Linked DNA regions of Drosophila melanogaster. The protein of the gene in region 1 purifies or fractionates together with the protein of each later gene. This does not show direct contact. Each region holds a gene or a part of one and is shown in the gene's direction. Other genes may lie near its edges.

Region 1 (3,724 bases):
AAATGAAGTAAACAAACGCAGCCGCACGTTCGAGTGCGCACTTTACAACGGAATAGAATGGAGGAGATGACTCTCTTTTTTTTTACAATTTTGTGTGTTTTCTCGATTGTCAATATGTTCTGTATTTAATTACTGATAAGATATACATAGACAGGTGACTGCCGACAGCTCTGAGTCATCTGTAAAACTGCAAAAACCCACCAGCCAAATGCAATAAACAAAAGTCGGACCAGGGATACTACCCAAAAACAAAACAAACGAACCAAAGCAGTGCTTGTTTTGTTAATATATTAATATTGATATGGTTAAAGGTGCCATTATGTGATCAATGAAATGAATTCTGTTCTGTTTATCATTACGTAAAAGTGCTCATAGGGAGTTAGTATACAATATTAACTACTATTAACTGTTGTTAATAATATTGTTTTTCATAGTAATATCCCATCGATCATTAATCAAGATTTTATTTTTCCCTGTCCACCTAGACTTTCTAAGGTTTCGAAATGAAAACTCTTTGGCGCGCAGACAAAGAAAGAGGATTACAGCTAGTACATATGTATATGCAACACAACTCTGGGGAAGTGGGGAAACTCCGGCTGATAACCAAAGTGGAGCACGGAGCACGGAGCTTAAAAATAGAATCCATTCGAAAAAGACCGCACACGATTCCAATTATAAGTGCAAATTGCTAGGAAGTTCGAGTGGCTATCCCCCTCCCAATACTCAGCCATCCATTTATACATTTGTTCTATACCCCATCCGAAAAACATTAGTCAACGCAGCATCCACACACATCCATCCATATTCATCCATATATACGTACACAATTAAAGATTCCCGATGGAGCGATTCGGGTTCGGATTGCGACTATAGCGCCAGGGGGCCCGGTCCACTCGGTGACTCTGCGATCGCACTATGCAGCCCGGCGCCTAATAAGCTGCATTTAATTGAACAATTAACGATTAACGCCCGATCCGGTCGCCCGATTTTGTTTAATTTACTTCCGAGTACGTTCGTCTTCTATTGTTTGGCAAAGAACAACAAAAAATACACTGATTTGTTGGAGATGGTGCACCTGCGATGCACTCCTTTCTATATATCGATTGTTTTTGAACCAACCATCGACTACCGATGTTTGCCCAGTCATCATTTTATATTAAAAATATTATAAGGCAATTTGAGGAATCTATGGTATAGTGTATGACTAAGTAGTGTGGAATAGTAGAAGTGTACAGTAATAACTACTAATATAGAAGTAATATAGTACAGTAAAATTGTATTATAATATGTTATTGCTGTGTAATGCAGCTTATAAATAAGTTGACGCCTCAGCGATTTTATTTAATAATGGTTGAGAATTTATCTTAAAAAGATGCTTTAGACTTATGCAGGGGAATAACTAACTAGTTTGTTGGAATTATTAAAAAATTGCCTGTTTCTATAAATACATAAAATAACTTTTACTTTATTTCCTAGGACTTAGTTCAGAATTTAAAATGTCTTTCATCAGTTTAACAATCTCTGGTGACGTGTTTTTCCACTGAGCTTTTCAATAAACTCTTAAGAACTGAAAATTTAGGATTTATAATGCCAAGCCTTGGTTTAACTAACATAAAATCTTAATGCCAGATGAAATATTGAAATAACCAGTGGAGTTGCACTTGAACTCATAAGGAGCGTTGCGCCGATAGCTGTAGTCGATAGTGCCGAACAGTGCCATCACTAGCCGCTAAAGTGGCAATATTCACTGCGGTTTCTACTTTAGCATAAACAAATTGAATTCTGTCTCCATGGAGAAGGTGGAGGCGGTAACAGTGTCCAATGTTGATCCCTATAGGCGGATCCTAAACAAGGTGGTGTCCCAGCTGCTATTGGACAAGGGGGCCGGCCAAGCGAGCAACCACAGCCTGGAGACGCTCACCCAGATGCTGCAGGCGTGTAAGTTGACATTGTGATTACCATTTTGTACTAGGATAATCATTTAGCACGCCATTCCAGTGATCTGGGAGATCGGCAATTCGGCGCATAACTACTGCGAGCTAAGTGGACGCACGATGCCCACCGTGGGCGATGTCAGTTTGGCCCTGATTAACATGGGCATTTCGATCTCCAATTTGGATCCGTACATGCGCAAGGAGACGCACGTGCCCATTCCACTGCCCCCACAGCAGACGCAGCAGCGCCCGCTGAGTCTGCTGCAAGCGGGCATCAAGGCCCCGCATCCCCACTACGTGCCCAGCTACTTCCCTCCCATGCCCGATCCGCACGCCTACATACGGACGCCCACGCACAAGCAGCCCGTAACAGAGTACGAGGCCATCAGGGAGAAGGCCGCCTGCCAGAAGCGGGACATCGAGAAGGCGCTCACAAAGTTCCTCTGCAAGACCACGGAGACGAACAACCTCTTTCCCACCGAGGACAACATGTTTCCTTGTAAGAGGCACCATAATCATCCAGCGAACAATAATTAATAACCATTTCCTTTCAGTAATTGCCTGCAAACCGGCCTTTCCTCCCTATGCAGCCGCTTTAAATCCCACAGATCAGGTGTTTGACTTCGAGGAGCTGGAGTACCACTATCTGGTGGCCAATCGCACAGAAGATGAGCCCAGCAAAGGTGCGTTTCTTTCAAATAGTCAGATGCCACGAGTGCTAACACTTTCCACCCTTTTAGACGACGGCGAAGAGGGCGATAGCGAAAACGAGGAGATGGATGGCGACAAATCCAAAGAGGAGAAGCCCGAGCTGGATATCAAGCCCAATTCCAACACAAACAAGGCCATTTTGGAGAACCCCAACATCGATAATCCCTATTTGCGGGCGGCTACTCTGCCCAAGCGATCCAAAAATTGCCCCACACCCGGAACCATGCCCAGCAGGAGTCTGGCCACCACGGCGCCAACGATACGAACGCCCTCCACTCTAGAGATAACCAAAACTAACCTTTAAGAGTAGCAGGCGTTTTTAATTATGGTTTGAAAATGTAAACACTCCTGTTTTCTTTAAATTTAAAAAATTAAAAAATTTAAAGTGTAGTTTTAGGTTCAAGGACTAATATATTTTATTTTATACTTACATATTTGGAATCTTTAAGTTTGAACTGAAGACATTGTATAGGGCCAATTTCCTCAAAATGGCATAATATTTCGTGTTATATATTTAAATAATAAAATAAATGGGTACTCCAGCAACGATCTGTGCTGGAAGATCTGCAAATCGGCTATGTTCTTCAATCTGCAAACCGCTAATCCAGCGGCAAATGCACTTCCATCAAGGCAATTGAGGAAGGTCCAGTCGTGCCCTGTCCATTAAGATCAATTAGGCAACAAATGAGGCATCGGCAAGTGCTCTCCGAGATTTTGCATAAAAAGCCGGCTGTTCACCGCCACAATTGCAATTTACGGATACACGATGTCGGACGCACTGGAGGAGCCACCATTGTACCTTACGCCGCAGTTCTTCAGGCGCACCCTGGAGCACGGATTGCAGCAGCTGGACCTGCAGGTCATCGGTGTCCAGCTGACCAATCTGACGCGTGGCGGGGAAAACTACTGCAGCAACATTTACCGAGCTCAGATTAAGTATCGCAATGCCGAGAGCTGCGCAATGGAGACATCCCTGATCGTCAAGTCCATGCCGGACGAGAAGCAGGCCATTCTGGCCCGCCTGCACATTTATAACAAGGAGACGCTTTTCTACATGCACATCAAGCCCAAGCTGGAGG
Region 2 (4,774 bases), 1.5 Mb from region 1:
GACAATGCATAAGGCTTCGGGAAACGGACACTCACCAGGGTGATGGCCACGTGCGAAAAGCGTTCGTAGGTCTGGCAGATGTACGACAGACCCGACTCATCGAGCAGGATCTTCTGGATGATGAAAGTGGCCACAGTCTTGCTCAGCTCCGATCCGCTGTCCATGATGCTCAGACAAAGGGGCACGATCTCGGTGGTCAGCAGAAAGGTGATCACCTCCTGTTCGTCGGTCTGTCGATAGCAGTAATAAGAAGACAACAAGTGCATTAGTGCATTAGATGACCACTGGCCTTCGGCTTAACCTACCTTGACCAGAGCACCAATCACGCCCAAACTGGTCAGGCGCAAGTACTCGAAGGGCCTGGTCTTGGACGTGGTCGACAAGAAAGGGTACAAGTACAGCGGTATCTGGGCCTGCAGGAAGGCCGTGCGAGTCTCCGGGTGCGAGGCGACGCACTGCAGCAGCGCCAGGGCGTTGCACACGCGGTTCGACTGGTGGGCCGTCAAAGTGGGCGGCGTTATCGATGGGTAGATGTTAACAATCTCCTGCAACAGGGCGCAGGCGGTCCCGAAGCTGTTCCACAGCATGGGGGCCAGGTCCGTCTCACGCTTCTTGCTTAGCTCGAGCAGAGCGGTTTCACGCGTGTCCGGATGGGCCAGCTCATTGATCCACTGGTACACCTGGCGGGCGATAAGTTAAAGCTAGCACGCGTTCTTGCCGACATCGGCTTACCTTCTCCTGCTCGGTCTGCTGCTGCTGCTGTTGCTGCTGCTGCTGCTGCTGAGGATTCATATGCGGACTCGGTTGAGCACTCATCGTGTTAACTTGACAAGATCTGGGTAAGAACTGTCGCCGGACGCTTGCAATGCACTTAGTGTCGGCGAGAACTCGCTGAACGGAACGGGACCTGCGAAAAGGAAGAGGTGGATTCCTATCGCCGGACGCTTAGATCGGGCGAGAGTTCGCTGAACGGAATGGGGCCTGCGAAAAGGAAGAGGTGGAACTAGCGATTTGTCGTCGATTTCTATAGCCGGACGCTTGCAATAGACTTAGCTCGGGCGAGAATTCGCTGAACGGAACGGGGCCTGCGAAAAAGGAAGAGGTAAAACTGGCGATTTGGCGTCTATTGCGATTATCGATAACGTTAGCAGGAAATTCCTTTTGCATTGGTTTAAGTCTAAAATGATCGAAAACAAGTGGCGACAACCAGGATTATGTTGTGTGCCGAACAGTGTGGCCAGAACCGCGCAAATGCCGCTGGAAATTGGTGAAACGCAAGCGCGCTATTTGTTTTCCAGCGTCGATGTAAATATGTACATAAATTTAAATTTTCAGAGAAACTTCCCGCCGTACGAAAACACAAAGTCTGAATGAAATCAAACATGATTTGCCAAATACAACTGCTTGCGCATGCTTTGTTGGTGCAAAATGCAAAAGTCTACAATTTTGAAGAAAATAGGCTTGATATCTTTGAAAAAGGATGACATTGCAAAGAAATAATGAATGGACGTGAGCGCGTGATTGCGAATGACCGATGATTACATTGATCAAAAGTAATAACCATAATGGGTATTTTAATTAGGTTATAGTTCATAATTTGCATGCTAAAAGCTAAAAATGCAATTTAGTAAAGACGCATTTAGCGGTAGTCAAGTGCACCGACTGGTTTGTATCCCGGCTATCCCCGTCGATTTTGTGGTATTTCTTAGCACATTCCCCGCCAGCCGGGTATCTAGCTGACAGCCGCAAAACGGCCACACTGATTTTCATTTGTCGTGACGAGTACCTCGGAATCGAAAAGAAAAAAACATAAGCAGACAGGCGAAACAGAGCATTCCGTTCAATAATGAATGCATAAGAACGTTCGACGCGCGCCGAGAACCAGTCTGCATACGAGTCGTGCGTGCGGCCAGCGTGTTGGATATATTTTTTTGAGGTTTGCGCCAGTTTCCAATGCACTCTCGTGTCGCCCTGCCTTCTGTACCATCGAATTTGAATCGTTAAAAGTGCGTGGAAAAGTGTACGAATCGAAACCAATACACGGAAAGTGGGACAACGGCGACTGAGAGAGCTCGTTGCGCTTGTCTCTGTGTCGCTGCCTTTGTGTGCGTACGACTGAGCGTGTGTGTGTGTGTGCCGTTCTGTTGCTGTTGTGTGTGTGTGTGTGCATGCGTGTGCACCGCCGATGTGTGCGTGCGAGTAGTGCCTACTGCGGCCGAGAGTCGAGTGTTGCCCGTGCTTCGAAATCGCATTGAATCGTATGGAAAAATGTGTTTTACTTCTCGCCCAACAACGCCGAACGCCTAAAAAAGAAAATTGCCGCACGGCGTCGCGCAGCATCAATCAAAGTGCATAGAAATATGAGCATGCCAATGCCAGCAAAGGCAAAGGCAAACGAAATAGCAAATCCAAATCGCAATCGCGAATTGTGCACGCAAATCAAAAGCAGGCGCTCTTCTACTCCACCATCTTCTTTTGTCTGTCTCTGAGCGACGACTTTGCCGCATGGTGAGTTTGCCGTTTGCTTGTCGTTGCTGCTTCTTCTTTGCCCCGTTCGTTATTGTTGTTGTCGTTGGTATTGGTAGTGGTAGTGGTTGTAGTGGTGGTGTTGGGTCAGGGCTTTGGCGGCGGCGTCGTTGTTGCTAATTTTGTTGCCAGTGCACTGGCTGTCGATATTGCGCTCTAAAATCGTGCTCACAATAATATTAGTCCTAGTGCAGATAGATAGATGCTTGCATTTGGCCAGTAGAAATGTAAGCATACATATACGCAGGCCAGGGCAACCAACCCATATGAGTGTGTGCGTGTCGTGCTCCTTCGTATGTGTGTGTGTGTGTGTGGATTTTCTCCATGCAGCGGCATCGACTGCTTGTGGTGGATTTGGCCGCCAGCGTGGTGAATTCGCGTCAGTGTTGCCAGCACACACCAGTAACAAACAGGCCATAATTCGTGGCGGCGCGGCTTTCTCAGTATTTGCCTATCCCGCTGCTTCGCTGCGCTCCTCTGCGCTCAACGCCATAGCCATTCCGCTTCATCCTCATCTTCCTCCTGCCTTTTCACGTTCTCCCCCAGTCGACAGCTGTGTGCGCATGTTTGCAGCGCTTATTATTTATTAAGTGTTGTTGTTGTTGCCCTCGCCGTGGTTCTTCTTGTGTTTATTTCGCTTGAAGTTTTTCGCGGCAATTTCGAGCGGTAGTTTTTCAGCGCCGGAAAATCGTATTGCATTTTCATCGGAATTTTCGGCTGGCGACTGTTTAAACCTGCGCGTCCTTCGGTATTTACAAATACGGTTTAATTGTTTAGACATGTGCTATAATTAGTTCGTAACTCTACCCGGCTTTCATTCAATTTTATTCTTTCATTGGGCTCCAATAAGTGTGTATGTACAAATGTACATATATGTATGTATGTATGTATGAGTGTATTTGTGGGTGTGTGTGTCTGTAGGTCGTTCCCCTTTTCAAATTGTCTCTTTTTAGTGTAAACAAAATGCATCCCTTGGAGCGGCAATTATACGCATTATTATATGCTGTATTGGCGGTTTTCTTTAGGATTGATTTCACATGCAAATTTAAGAATTAGTTGTTGAAAGTCCCGAATCTTATCGACTGCTATCATGCACCCTGATCTAAAGTATCGTCCACTTCTTTTTGCAGGCTGGCGGCCCACTGGACAATCGAATATAGCAATGAATGATTTACGTCAGCAGCAGATGGTAGCAGCGACATCGTCATCAGGATCGGAATCGGGAACAGCGGTAGAATCGGCAGCCGCCACGTCCACAGCAGGATCAGCCGGAGCAGCAGGTCGCCCCCAGTCTAACTGTAGCGCTAATAGCAACGCCAAGTCAGTGGCAGCGAGCAGCACGAGCGAGGAGGAGCAGCGAGTTAGCTCCACGTCGTCGCCAGCCCAGCGGGATCAGCAGCTGAATGCAGATCGGGACCGGGAACAGGAGCCAGAGCCACAGCAGCAGCAGCAGCGGGAGGAGGCACTGCAGCACCAGCATAATCAGCCCGGCCATATAACCAGCACCACAGCGTCGCCTCCGCCGACGCTGCCACCGCCGACGACGCCGTGCGACGATGCCCCAAGCACAACTGGAGCATCTGCATCGGCCAGCTCAGCATCCGGAGAAGCACCATCAGCAGCATCAGCAGCGGGAGCAGCAGGTGGACCGATGGCCGCTACGGCGCTTGAGGTAGAGAGCGAGGAGCGGGATGGACATAAGATCATCCTGAAGCTCTCCAAGCACGCCAATCCCAACTCAAACGCAAATGAATCTCAGCCGGGCGGAGATGAGAGGCGCGTGGAGCCCCTGCGCATTCAGCTGCCCTGCGGCGGAGCGGAAGGAGGCTTGGTTGCGAAGCAGCAAGATGCCTTCGATGCGGACGCCTCTTCCTGCTCCTCGTCGTGCGCCGAGGACGAGGTGGCTACCACCCTCGGCCAACAACTACGAAACACCCCGCACATTGTGCCAAAGCTGACCATCCGCGCCGCGAACGAGAGGCGCGTAGGCAGCGTGGTGCCTAAGCTGACCATCAAGTTGCCTGAGAATCCGGCTGCTTCCGGCTCCAACTCCAACTCTGGATCGTGCTCAGCAGCTGTGAGTGGCGCCCAGTCAGCTATGCCCGCCAAGAACGATGCCCACCTGTCCAGCCTCTCGCCCGCATCCGCCTCGTCTTCATCTGCCTCGTCCTCCTCCTCATCGTCGTCGTCGTCCTCACTGGCGGAGATGCAGACGGTGCCCAAGCTGATGATCAAGACAACGCTAGCC
Region 3 (7,800 bases), on another chromosome or scaffold:
CTCCCAGGCTCATCTATACCAGCGCAAGGCGATGGCCAGTGACGTGGACGAGCTCAACGATAGACTAAGAGAACTGGACTCCGAGCGCAAGGAACTAGACAAGCTGCGCACATCGAGCACCTTCCAACGCACATTCGTCTATCCGCTGGCCATGCTGCTGCTGCTCTTCTGCACAGCTGTCACCATTCTGCTGGTTGTGCAGAATACACTAGAGCTCCTTATTGGCATTAAGGCGCTGCCACTAAGCACAAGGGTAGGTCTAACTGCAGGGATCGTAAGACGAATGCTTATTGAGTTTGTTTCCCTTATTTAGCAATTCGCATTGGGCATCTCTTCGCTCTCGAAGTTGGGTCCCTTTGGTGCCGGCCTGGAGGTGTGTCTCATCTTCTATCTCGGCGCCACCTCGGTGGTGGGCTTCTACAGCATGCCGTTCATGCGCAAGGTTTGTCCCAAGCGGCGCCAGACTTCGCTGCCACAGCTAATGCTGAACTGTGGCTTCATGCTGGTTTTGTCGTCGGCATTGCCGCTTCTCAGCAGGATCATAGGTAGGCTGTGGCAAATTACTAATGAATAATACAGTGTTTAAAAGCGACTATTATTGATTCTTACAGGCATCACAAACTTTGACCTGCTGGGTGATTTTGGAGCCATCGAGTGGTTGGGAAACTTCCAGATTGTATTGCTTTACAATTTGGTTTTTGGAACCACAACTGCCCTGTGCTTGGCAAACAAATTCACGGCTACGGTGCGCCGGGAGCTAAGAGCCCGGTTAGTGGAGAACTATGTGCTCTTTACTAACTACATTAGCTTCATCAACTGATATTGGCGCAAGCGACACGACAATGCGTTTTGTATAAACCGACAGGAGGTGAGGCGCCTTGTCGAGTCGCCGCTAAAGAGCCTAACAAGTTTCTATACCAAGTATCGTAACCTTAGTCGTAAGAGCAGTCGCAATACCACCGCTAGTCGCAAGGCAAACGAAATGAACTGTTAAGACACGAGAAAAACATGGGAGATGGGCAGCTGAAACTATATAATATACCTTTACATATGTTATATGATCACGTATAGTTGTGCAGAACTGATACTAATATTTAAATTTTGCAATGTTAACTGTTGTGCTTAATTGTTGTACTTTATACAGACAGAGTCCTCACAGTGCACCAGCATATCACTGTGGTGCCAGTAAACACAGAACAATGGCACTCGTGTACCATGATATTCGCAGAAATCTCGCCAATAACTAGCATGTAAATAGAAGATGTAATTGTGCAACATAAGCCGCAGTCAATTTGCAGTAGGCGTAGTTTAGAATTTCGTTTCTTGTCGTTCAGAGTGAATTCCATTTCATACATGTTTTTCGCTATTTATCCACGTATATTTCAGTTATTTTTATAAGATTTTAACAATGTTCCTTAAGCAGCGAAACGATGAGGCGTGTTCATTTCATTTTACGGCATACTCAAATCTGTAACCCAATATTCACACAATCACACACTAACAAGCGTCTAAAACTTATGTGATAAAAAATAATAATAAACAAAGCATTTTACTAAATTAATCGAAATATCATGGCTTTTTAATTGCGCGCTTGCGTTTTGCTGACTTTTAAATTAAATATTGTTCTGTTTAACTTTTTTTTCAGCCTAACTTCGTTGTTTCTATTGGCTTGAATGCCTTTTTTCGAGAAGGAGCTAATTTAAGGAAAACTACCTACGATATTGCTGTGATTCAATGACTTAATTAAAACTTTAAATGATGCTTTAGGGATGCTATAATAAAGAACTTAAGTAAAATGATGTTCAGCTTGTTTATTTGGTTAAGAAATATGATTTTTGGTGGGAACATACCATTTAAAATAATATTCACCACCGCGCGCTTCGATTACGATAACTCACCACGCAAGTGGCCGGCTATCGAACTATATATCGACCGCGCACTATCGAACCTTTCGCCCACCACTACTTTTTCGCTCATTCCCAGAATTTGTGGCATTTTGTGTGGCGTCTTATTATCGGATATTTAGATTTTAACTGTAATAAGAACAGGGATAACACGATGCTGAGCCGCAAGCGCCGGGCGAGCAGCATATCCAGCCGGCAGGACGAGGATCCGCTGCAGCTGGACGACTCGACGCCGGAGCAGTCACCGGTGCAGCAGACGACGACACAATCGGCGCGAAAAAAGCGCCGTCTCGATCCCACAGAACTGTGCCAGCAATTGTACGATTCCATAAGGAACATAAAGAAGGAGGACGGTTCAATGCTGTGCGACACCTTCATCCGCGTGCCGAAGCGCCGGCAAGAGCCCTCGTACTATGACGTGGTGGTCAATCCCATTGATCTGCTCAAGGTTCAGCAGAAGCTGAAAACCGATTCCTACGACGATTTGGATGATCTGATGGCCGACCTGGAGCTGCTTATTGGCAATGCCAAGGCCTTCTACATACCGGGCAGTAGCGAGCACCAGGACGCAGTCTCTCTGTGGCAGCACATTCATTCGCAGAGACAGCGCATTATGGAGGCAAATGGATTGGCGGAGGAGGAGCCGCGTGCCAGACGCATGTCGCGCCAAGTGCGCCGAATGACCAGCAGCACTGAACCTGGTGGCGATGGAGCAACTGATGACGAGTACAACCAGTACGAGGAGCTCTTCGCCTCCGTTATGACCGCTACCGATCCCGTGGGCGATCGGTTAATGCACCGCATGTTCCAACTGCTGCCCTCCAAGAAAATCTATCCAGACTACTACGATGTCATTGAGCATCCCATTGATCTGCGCCTGATTGCGACCAAAATACAAATGAACGCTTACTCCTCGCTGGCGGAGATGGAACGGGATCTGCTACAAATGACCAAAAACGCATGTCTGTTCAACGAGCCTGGTTCTCAGATCTATAAGGACGCCAAATCCCTGAAACGGATCTTTACGCAGCGGCGTATTGAGCTGGAGATGGGCAAAGGCAAGCTGGCTAAGCGCGTCAAGAGTCTCTCCAGTGCAGCAATTGCTGGTAAGATTAAAAAAAACATTTTTTTTTCTTTTTTGTATATAAATTATTCTTTTTCCAGCACTAAAAGAGGAGGTTGACAGCTCGGACGACGAGGAGACCAGCAAAAAGGGCGAGGGGCCCATGTGGGCATTGTTCGATCACTTGTACAACGCACCAGGAACTTCGGAACATCCGGGAGTTACTGGTCCTCCATTGGGAAACTCTCTATGGAAACTGCCAGTTCGTCGTTTCCATCCCGAATATTTTGAGCTGATCAAACGACCCATATCTATGAGCCAAATCCACACAAAGCTCAAAAAGGGCGATTATGCGAACATTAGTGATCTCACCGCCGATCTATATCTCATGCTGGACAACGCCAAAAAGGCGTTTCCGACGTCCCATCGCACTCACAAGGATGCGCTGAAAATGTTAAAGCTAATGAATGCCAAGCTGGTGGAGGAGTCTCTCGAGGAGGGCAGTGATCTGGATGACGAGGATGCAGAGGAAATGGACACAGAGGTATTTACGGTTAGCACGCAGCCGGAAAAGCGCAAGCCGGGCAGACCCCGCATCAACTCCAATTCGAACTCTAACGCCTCCCATACACCAAATAACTCGAATTCACCCAAATCAAATCGCATTGCCATCAACGCGGCTATTAAAAAGAAGATTCTGAGCATACAGAAATATTTGGTGGACTACTCCTTGGGCAATCGTCGTCCCATCGAAATGTTTATGGAAAAGCCGCCTCGCAAGATTTATCCGGACTACTACGATATCATTCAAAACCCCATTGACATGAACACTATCGAGCATAACATTCGCACAGATCGCTATGCCGCCGTGGAGGACGTGGTATCCGACTATCGACTTATGTTTTCCAACTGCCGACAGTATAATGAGGAGGGCTCTAACATATACGAGGATGCCAATATATTGGAACGAGCTCTAAATGAAAAGCTCAAGGAGTTCCCTGGTCTTACAGAGGGCAAAAAAAGCCAGCAGAAGTACAGCAAGGTGGGAAGAAAGTTAAAGACCGCTGTAATTACAGAGCGGCTGTGGCAATTCTATGAAACAGTAAAGGAGTACCAGGAGCCCAAGGGTAAGAGGCAGCTGTCGCTTATATTTACGAAGTTGCCATCCAAGAGCGAGTATCCGGACTACTACGACATTATCAGGGAACCTATTGACATGGACCGAATCGCTCAGAAACTTAAACAGGGCGCTTATGATACCTTAGATGACTTGGCAGCGGACTTTCTGCTGATGCTGGAGAACGCCTGCAAGTATAACGAGCCAGACTCGCAGATCTACAAGGATGCGCTCGTGCTACAACAATTGACACTGCAGCTGAAGCAACAACTGCGCACCGAGCGCGATTCTCTTCCGGATGTTCCTTTGGCTGTTCAGGAGCTGTTCCTCACACTGTTCACGACTATTTACAATCACCAGGACGAGGAGGGACGTTGCTACTCGGATTCCCTGGCCGAACTGCCGGAGTACGATGAGATTGGCGAAGGACCCAAGGTTCGCGGCATTTCGCTGGACCTTGTAAAACGAAGGCTTGACAAAGGAGCTTACAAACGGCTTGATGTTTACCAGGAAGATATTTTTGCCTGTTTGGAACGTGCAAGAAAGTTGTCCCGCACAGATTCGGATATTTTTCAGGTGAGTAATAACTACAATAATAGAAGCATTGTACTATTCTAAGAACAAACTTTTCCAGGACTCCATCGAGTTGCAAACATACTTCATTCGCAAGAGAGACGAGTTATGCAAGGACACACTTAGCTCATCCGCTTTAAATTTTAGTCTAGAACGCCTTATGGCTGATGTGGAGCTGTGTCGCCAGCAAAAAATGCAACAAGAGGAACAGGACCAAGAGCAGGATAAGGAGAAGGATGAATTCAATGCAGCCAAGGGTGAAAGCATGACAATAAACCAGCAGGTGTTTTCTCCCGGCGATTACGTATACGTGCAAATGCCGGAAAACAAGATTCCCTCGATATGCTGCATAGAGCGCCTCTGGACATCACCCACCAATGAGAAGCTGATGCAGGCTTCGATCTTTGTACGGCCCCACGAAACGTACCATGTAACCACTCGCAAGTTCCTCGAAAAGGAAGTGTTCAAGAGCAGCCTTTCGCAGACCATCTCGATGGATAAAGTGCAGGGCATGTGCTACGTAATGAACATAAAGGATTACATCAAGATGCGTCCGGAAAACTTGCCTGAAAAGGATGTTTACGTTTGCGAGTCTCGTTACAATATCCAAGGTCGCTGGTTCAAGAAGCTGAAGAGCTGGCCGCCAGTCCGTGAAGGCAGCTCGGTGAAGTTCGTTCCACGAGAGCAGCCATTGGAGTTAAAACGTGTGATGTCTGTGTTTAAGGAGCGTTTGGAAAAGCACAAAGGAGAACTGGAGGAGCTGAAGCTCCAAGAGACGCTGGTCGAAAAGGAGAAACCAAATGTGTCTTGCGATCCGCCGCCAAATGCTGAGGTTGGCAGCACGTACTACCAGCAGTACAACACCATTTGCAGTGGGGCCATAAAAACGGGAGACTTTGTTTACGTGGCCACCCAAACAGGAAAGCAGTCGGTGGCACAGGTCCAGCAGATTTGGGAGCAGAATGGAAAATCATACTTTAAAGGTCCATGGCTGTTACCACCCAGCGAGACGACCCCCGGCTTGGGCAAGCAATTTTATCGCCAGGAACTGCTGCTGAGCACAGTCGAAGAGGTCAGTCCGGTGGTGGGCATCGTGGGTCGTTGCGCCGTCCTGGAGTACTCCGAATTTATCAGCTCCCGACCCACGGAGATATCCGAAAGCGATGTGTACATTTGTGAGTCCGTCTATGATGAGCTAAAGAAAGCTCTTCGCAAGTTGGTTACGGGCAACATGCGCAAGTTCCAACACAGTCCTTCTGTCACCGAGGATGAGATCTTTTACTTTAAGACTCCCATTAAGCCCTCCAAGGACTTTAAGAACGAATTGAATGAACTGGGCATGCTAGAGGATTCAATGGATGGGGATACACCCTCGCTGAGCTCAGACATTGCGGCCATGTCCTCGCCGGCTCCTTCAGTAAACTCCACGCCACTGACGTCCAAAGTTAAGGCCGCCAAATCGGCCAAAAAATGTCTTACCGGTTACATTTTGTACTCTAGTGAAGTTCGAAAAAGTACGTTTATTTAGTATACTTTAAAGATCATGTATAACCGTTGAACTTTCTTTTACAGGCATTTGCCAGAGCAACCCGGACGCAACCTTTGGAGACATATCCCGCATGGTGGGCACCGAATGGAAGAATCTGCCCTCCAGCGTTAAGCAGAGCTGGGAGGATAGGGCTAGCCGACAGAATGAGGAGACGGCGGCCCTACGGCGCGAGTTGGACGACGTCCAGAACAGTGCGAGTCCCTCATCCCAAGTTTCGCAGGATGTCTTTGGACAGGTGCTCACCTTTGAGTGTCAGTGGGATAAGTGCGACTTTCAGTTCGAGGAGCTTAGCGACTGCACGGAACATTGCATGTCCGATAGCACCGGACACATCCAGCGCCATCCACAAGCGGGCGTGGAGACGGAGTATGTCTGCCTGTGGCGCAACTGCCCGCGGGTCAAGAAGTCTGTTCAGGCCTTTCCTAACGTTCTGCGCCTCATCAAGCATGTGCGCGAGGTCCATCTGAGCAAGTGTGGCAAGACGATTTCGGCGGCAGACCGCAGCAAGAATTTCGTGCCGCGTCGGCAGAAGCATGCGCAACTGGCCACTACTGTGCCCATCCCGCCCAGCCTTGCGCAATCGCCGCGCGCTCCAAGCAATCTCGAGGCAGTGCAGCTCCAGCAGCAGCAGCATCCGCAGCAGAACATGCACCAACTGCAGCAACAGCAAACGATCGTCTTGGGTCCGCCACCAGAGCCGCTCTTCGTCACAGTGCCGCCGCGCACCACTCGCGTCATCCACTCGGAGGCCTACATTAAGTACATCGAGAGCCTGCAGACGGGCAGCCATCTGAACGTGGTCACCTGCAACAACAATTGGCGGCGTGCACTGACCCACATCACACCCGCACAGGTGGTGGCCAAGACGGCGCTACCCGAGAAGTGGATCGGACCGAATCTGCGCGACCAGGGCAACGTGGTGCAGGCACTGTGCCACCTGCGCAACTTCATGGTCGACGATATACTTCAAATACGGCGCAGTTGCAACTAGCCCATCGTTCACCGCTAAGCCCAAAGCTTTTTGAGTTCCATGTTAATAAACAACACAAACAAATTATAACAATTTTCGTATTGATTGGGGAAAATATATCATAATAAATATGATTGCAAATATAACGACAGCAATGTCATATTACATGCTTTAATATGCAGAGCGGCGTTTAATTAGGTAATTAATACTTAAGATCGTTTATTTCCTCTCAATGTTATCAGTTTCTCGTGGCGCTGACGTCATGGCTAAGTATCGATTATTTTCTCGTGGGTTTTGTTTTGCTCCGGTGCTACGACAACAAACCGGTTTCCAAACATAGAGTCACCCAGTTATTTTGTGGTGCTTATCTAATTGGCCACGCTCAGCTCTGATCAGTGCCTCTCAGTGGTGCTCATTTTGCGTCTTCCTCCCATGATTAAGTGCCATATGCCGTCGAGTTGGAGACGGCTACGCAAAATCAGTCGTATTCTAGCGCTGACAGGAAGCAGACAGATACTCACCCAAGTATTAGCAACCAAAGGAGCAGCAATGGCAGAGGGAGATTCGAAATTTGGCTTCAAGGACATGGAGAAGGCGTTAGAGACGTTGAAGCTGCTGGAGAGT
Region 4 (4,815 bases), on another chromosome or scaffold:
CTCCGTGTGGGAGGGAACTTGCGAAACGATCTCTGCGCAATCTGCTCCGTAAATATGCATCCCCAACTCTTGGGCTACGGCGCTCACAAGCTTTGATTTGCCCGATCCTCGCTCGCCTTGCAGGAGGAACACAGGAAATATGTGCTTTGACGACAGGCAGGCGGACTTTTTTGGCAGGAAAGCATCTACTGAGGAGCGCAACAGCTTATAGGGCTTTCGAAGTCCACTTGGATAGTTCTCAACGATGGCCATGCTGTCAAGCACTTGACGAGGCAGGAAACTGTGAGATGCAGGCACTTGAACAAGGTTGCTAAAGTTTTTGGCAACAATCGCTTGCAGCTCGAACTCGCTGCCCTTTGTCTCCAGGTGAATACACTTTAGGTGGACGTGGCGTAGGTGAGCGAATATCAGGTAATAGTGGGCATAAGTCGCAGTGCCCACCAACTCTGCGTTCACCTCGATGCGGTAGGTATGTCCACGATGCATGAGTCGAGGTGTATTGAAATAGTTGCTCAGGATGACCTCTGTCAGTTCGGCGGGAAGTTCATGGGGATCTGCGACTAAGTACACATGTGCTTTGGTTGCTATTCCAGGTATTGTCTGCTCATCGGCAAAATGCTCTACCTGCACCCAGCAGTTGGAGCGGATTTGAAAGCGATCCAATATGTTGCCGTAGAAGTTCTCCTGAAATTTTACACGATGTAGAATTATAGAAAATATTCCATTTATTTAGAACTAGATACCCACCTGAACGTACAGACAATTGGGTTGGCACTGTGCAGCCGGCAAGATCTGGGCCACAATCGTATGCGGCGCCTCCTGGAGCATTTGCTTGATAACCGTTTGGGTCATATTTCCTTCGTCTGAAGCTAGCGGCTTACCGATTCTTACCCTCCTGCCGCGGATAACCAAGTTGACAAAGTTGACGTCCGGCGATTCCGCATAGTTTTCGTACACCTCCTGACTGGCGAACACCAGGTGCTCCGACTTAATCTGCTCGTTCTTGATCAGCAGATCGTAGAGGCGGTTCGGAATGGGGGTCAGCAGAAACTTGCCCTTGTAATATTTGGCGTAACGCCAGTATACGGCGTATGTCAGATATCCGGGGTAGAGGAACCAGGGCCACTTGGGCGCCAGCAGCTGTATGGCCGAATTGTAGCCCTCGACTAGCTCCTGTACTCTCCCAGAGAAGCTAAATCTCGGCTGTCCTGGATCTTGTTGATCGAACGACACCGAATTCCGCTTGCCGACGACTTTTTTCTGCGGGAATTGATCACGATATTAGCTAATATGGCTTAAATGTTACATATGGACCTACCGCATCATCATTTTCATTCATTTTTTACAATAAATATGGACTAAACACAACAGAAAGCACGAGTACAAGGGTTAATTTCGAGGAGGCGGTGTCAAAGTTCAAGGAGTTGGGGGATAGGCGCCAGACAAATACACTGAAATATGCAATGGCAAGTTAATTCTGTTAATGCACAGCAAATTATTACCCTCTGCTATAAAAATTAGCTTGTTTATTTGGCCAGTTACTTTGTATTTTACCTTTTTCACAATTACTCTCCTCTTCATTACGAATGTTTTGATTCTGGTAAGATATTTGCTCAAAAAATACTAAAAGTATTCAGTCAGCTGTCCACAGTAAGACCTTTATAAGCACATCTTCAAATAATTTCTTTGACCTGCATAAAAGTTAAATATTAATTTTGTAGTAAAATGAAAGAATGAAATATGTCATTATATTTTAAGTAATTCCAAAAATTGGCAAAAAGATATAATTTATAATGTATTAATACAATTTATTTTTAGAATCCGTCTTCGCTAGTGGCTACTGTATATTTTGACTGTACTTGGTGCATTTTAGTATATTTCATTCTCCACTTGGCCGTTTTCAACCGATGCCAACCTGGTCACACTTTTCCACGCATAACAAAATAGTACACAAGTTCCATATATTTCAATTTTCCGCGAAAATGAGCCTGGAAGTGAGCAATATAAACGGGGGAAACGGTACTCAATTGTCCCACGACAAGCGTGAGCTGCTGTGCCTGCTGAAACTCATCAAAAAGTACCAGCTGAAGAGCACTGAGGAGCTGCTCTGCCAAGAGGCGAATGTGAGCAGTGTGGAATTGTCGGAAATCAGCGAAAGTGATGTTCAGCAGGTGCTGGGCGCAGTTTTGGGAGCTGGCGATGCCAACCGGGAGCGGAAACATGTCCAATCTCCGGCGCAGGGTCATAAACAGTCCGCGGTGACGGAGGCCAATGCTGCAGAGGAACTGGCCAAGTTCATCGACGACGACAGCTTTGATGCTCAGCACTATGAGCAGGCATACAAGGAGCTGCGCACTTTCGTTGAGGACTCCCTGGACATATACAAGCATGAGCTGTCCATGGTTCTGTACCCAATTCTGGTGCAGATCTACTTCAAGATCCTCGCCAGTGGACTAAGGGAGAAGGCCAAAGAATTCATTGAGAAGTACAAATGCGATCTCGACGGCTACTACATAGAGGGTCTTTTCAACCTTCTTTTGCTGTCTAAGCCCGAGGAGCTGCTGGAGAATGACCTCGTAGTAGCCATGGAGCAGGATAAGTTTGTCATTCGCATGTCCAGGGACTCGCACTCTCTGTTCAAGCGACACATTCAGGATCGCCGGCAGGAAGTGGTGGCAGATATTGTTTCCAAGTACTTGCATTTCGACACATACGAGGGCATGGCGCGCAACAAGCTGCAGTGCGTCGCCACCGCGGGCTCGCACCTCGGAGAGGCCAAGCGACAGGACAACAAAATGCGGGTGTACTACGGACTGCTCAAGGAGGTGGACTTTCAGACTCTGACCACTCCAGCGCCGGCACCAGAGGAGGAGGACGATGATCCGGATGCCCCGGATCGTCCGAAAAAGAAAAAGCCAAAAAAGGATCCCCTGCTGTCGAAAAAGTCCAAGTCGGATCCGAATGCTCCATCCATCGACAGAATTCCCCTGCCGGAACTGAAGGATTCGGACAAGTTGCTAAAGCTTAAGGCTCTCAGGGAAGCCAGCAAGCGTTTAGCCCTCAGCAAGGATCAACTGCCCTCTGCCGTCTTCTACACGGTGCTTAATTCCCATCAGGGCGTAACCTGTGCCGAGATTTCAGACGATTCCACGATGTTGGCCTGTGGATTTGGCGATTCTAGCGTGAGGATTTGGTCATTGACGCCCGCGAAGCTGCGTACGCTGAAGGATGCAGATTCCCTTCGCGAACTGGACAAGGAATCGGCGGATATCAATGTGCGTATGCTGGATGACCGAAGTGGTGAGGTAACCAGGAGCTTAATGGGTCACACCGGACCCGTATACCGCTGTGCCTTTGCCCCCGAGATGAACCTGTTGCTCTCATGTTCCGAGGACAGCACCATAAGGCTGTGGTCTCTGCTCACCTGGTCCTGCGTAGTCACCTACCGCGGGCACGTTTACCCGGTGTGGGATGTTCGCTTTGCGCCGCATGGCTACTATTTTGTTTCTTGTTCGTACGACAAAACTGCTCGTCTGTGGGCCACGGATTCCAATCAAGCGTTGCGCGTATTCGTGGGTCACTTGTCGGACGTGGATTGTGTACAATTTCATCCCAATTCCAATTATGTGGCCACCGGTTCTAGCGATCGCACGGTACGCCTGTGGGACAACATGACCGGTCAGTCGGTACGCCTGATGACGGGCCACAAGGGATCGGTGAGTTCTCTGGCCTTCTCCGCCTGCGGCCGGTATCTGGCCTCGGGTTCAGTAGATCACAATATCATCATCTGGGATCTGTCGAACGGATCCCTGGTCACCACCCTGTTGAGGCACACTAGCACTGTGACCACGATCACCTTTAGTCGCGATGGAACAGTCCTGGCTGCAGCCGGCTTGGATAACAATCTAACTCTGTGGGACTTTCACAAGGTTACCGAAGACTATATCAGCAATCACATCACTGTGTCGCACCATCAGGATGAGAACGACGAGGACGTCTACCTCATGCGTACTTTCCCCAGCAAGAACTCGCCATTTGTCAGCCTGCACTTTACGCGCCGAAATCTCCTGATGTGCGTGGGTCTATTCAAGAGTTAGGAGCACAGATAAGCTTATTTGGTATACGTAATGTAGTGTTAAGGAATGCTCGGAATGTTTAGGATTAATGTTTTGTATTTCGTTTGTGACCCATCCCCCCTGAAATGTCGATTAGTTGTTTAAGCATAAAAGTGTAAAGTGCATATATGCGCAAGTTATCAATAAATTTTAATTAATATAAAAGTCAATCATTAAGGTTCTTATATATAATTCATATTTATTTAAAAGTCATATAAAGCATATACACAGATAAATACGTAGCTGTACGATTTGCCTACTCTGCATCAGGGATTCCAAACGTTCGGCGCACGGCTATCGAGTTCTTGATGTTAAAGATCGCACAGCGCGGAGGCTTCTCTCCGCCGAAGGCCAGGGTGTAGGGATCCTCGGGGCACTGGCGCATGCACTGCAAGCGACCCATGTTGAACTCGTGCTCGTAGACGTGCTTTGCCTCTGTGCCATCAAAGTTCCACACCTTTAGGGTGCCCTCCGTGGAGGTGGAGGTCAGCAGATTAGGCTTCTGGTTGTTGAAGCACACACCGGAGATTTCCTCGTTGTGGGCCTTTACGGACCACAGCAGTTGTCCAGGAGAACGTTTGTCGGCGTAATGCAAGGTGCCATCGTTGGTGCCCACGATGAAGTAGTCGGTCTGTGTGGGATGCCACAGGACCTTCTCCACTTCACCGTCAACTTTCCACTCAATGCTGGACGAGTTGAC

Evidence for each region.
Region 2: the proteins of Taf8 (region 1) and e(y)3 purify together in Drosophila melanogaster (affinity purification with western blotting; one study listed by BioGRID). This does not show direct contact.
Region 3: the proteins of Taf8 (region 1) and polybromo purify together in Drosophila melanogaster (affinity purification with western blotting, with the first as the bait; one study listed by BioGRID). This does not show direct contact.
Region 4: the proteins of Taf8 (region 1) and Taf5 purify together in Drosophila melanogaster (affinity purification with western blotting, with the first as the bait; one study listed by BioGRID). This does not show direct contact.

What each region holds. Positions count from the first base shown.
Region 1 is NC_004354.4:18,100,270-18,103,993, forward strand, and holds Taf8 (TBP-associated factor 8), read left to right. Parts: upstream 1-1,700; 5' UTR 1,701-1,790; coding exon 1,791-1,938; intron 1,939-1,998; coding exon 1,999-2,433; intron 2,434-2,488; coding exon 2,489-2,617; intron 2,618-2,674; coding exon 2,675-2,949; 3' UTR 2,950-3,213; downstream 3,214-3,724. Other genes in the region: CG7135 (uncharacterized protein), read left to right, coding at 3,412-3,724. UniProt on the Drosophila melanogaster protein: TFIID is a multimeric protein complex that plays a central role in mediating promoter responses to various activators and repressors.
Region 2 is NC_004354.4:19,635,352-19,640,125, reverse strand, and holds the start of e(y)3 (enhancer of yellow 3), read left to right. Parts: upstream 1-1,756; 5' UTR 1,757-2,753; exon of another isoform or gene 2,754-3,274; intron 3,275-3,656; 5' UTR 3,657-3,688; coding exon 3,689-4,774. Other genes in the region: Rcd-1 (required for cell differentiation 1), read right to left, coding at 36-230, 306-680, 733-816. UniProt on the Drosophila melanogaster protein: Essential transcription regulator during early development. Coactivates transcription of some euchromatin genes and repress transcription in of euchromatin genes translocated to heterochromatin.
Region 3 is NT_033777.3:24,799,431-24,807,230, reverse strand, and holds polybromo (polybromo), read left to right. Parts: upstream 1-1,971; 5' UTR 1,972-2,058; coding exon 2,059-3,010; intron 3,011-3,068; coding exon 3,069-4,660; intron 4,661-4,718; coding exon 4,719-6,171; intron 6,172-6,229; coding exon 6,230-7,197; 3' UTR 7,198-7,264; downstream 7,265-7,800. Other genes in the region: lili (lilipod), read left to right, coding at 1-253, 314-545, 612-820; Ude (Uracil-DNA degrading factor), read left to right, coding at 7,726-7,800.
Region 4 is NT_033778.4:10,876,773-10,881,587, reverse strand, and holds Taf5 (TBP-associated factor 5), read left to right. Parts: upstream 1-1,914; 5' UTR 1,915-1,982; coding exon 1,983-4,097; 3' UTR 4,098-4,276; downstream 4,277-4,815. Other genes in the region: Pex6 (peroxin 6), read right to left, coding at 1-684, 748-1,260, 1,555-1,581; nclb (no child left behind), read right to left, coding at 4,372-4,815. UniProt on the Drosophila melanogaster protein: TFIID is a multimeric protein complex that plays a central role in mediating promoter responses to various activators and repressors. May play a role in helping to anchor Taf4 within the TFIID complex.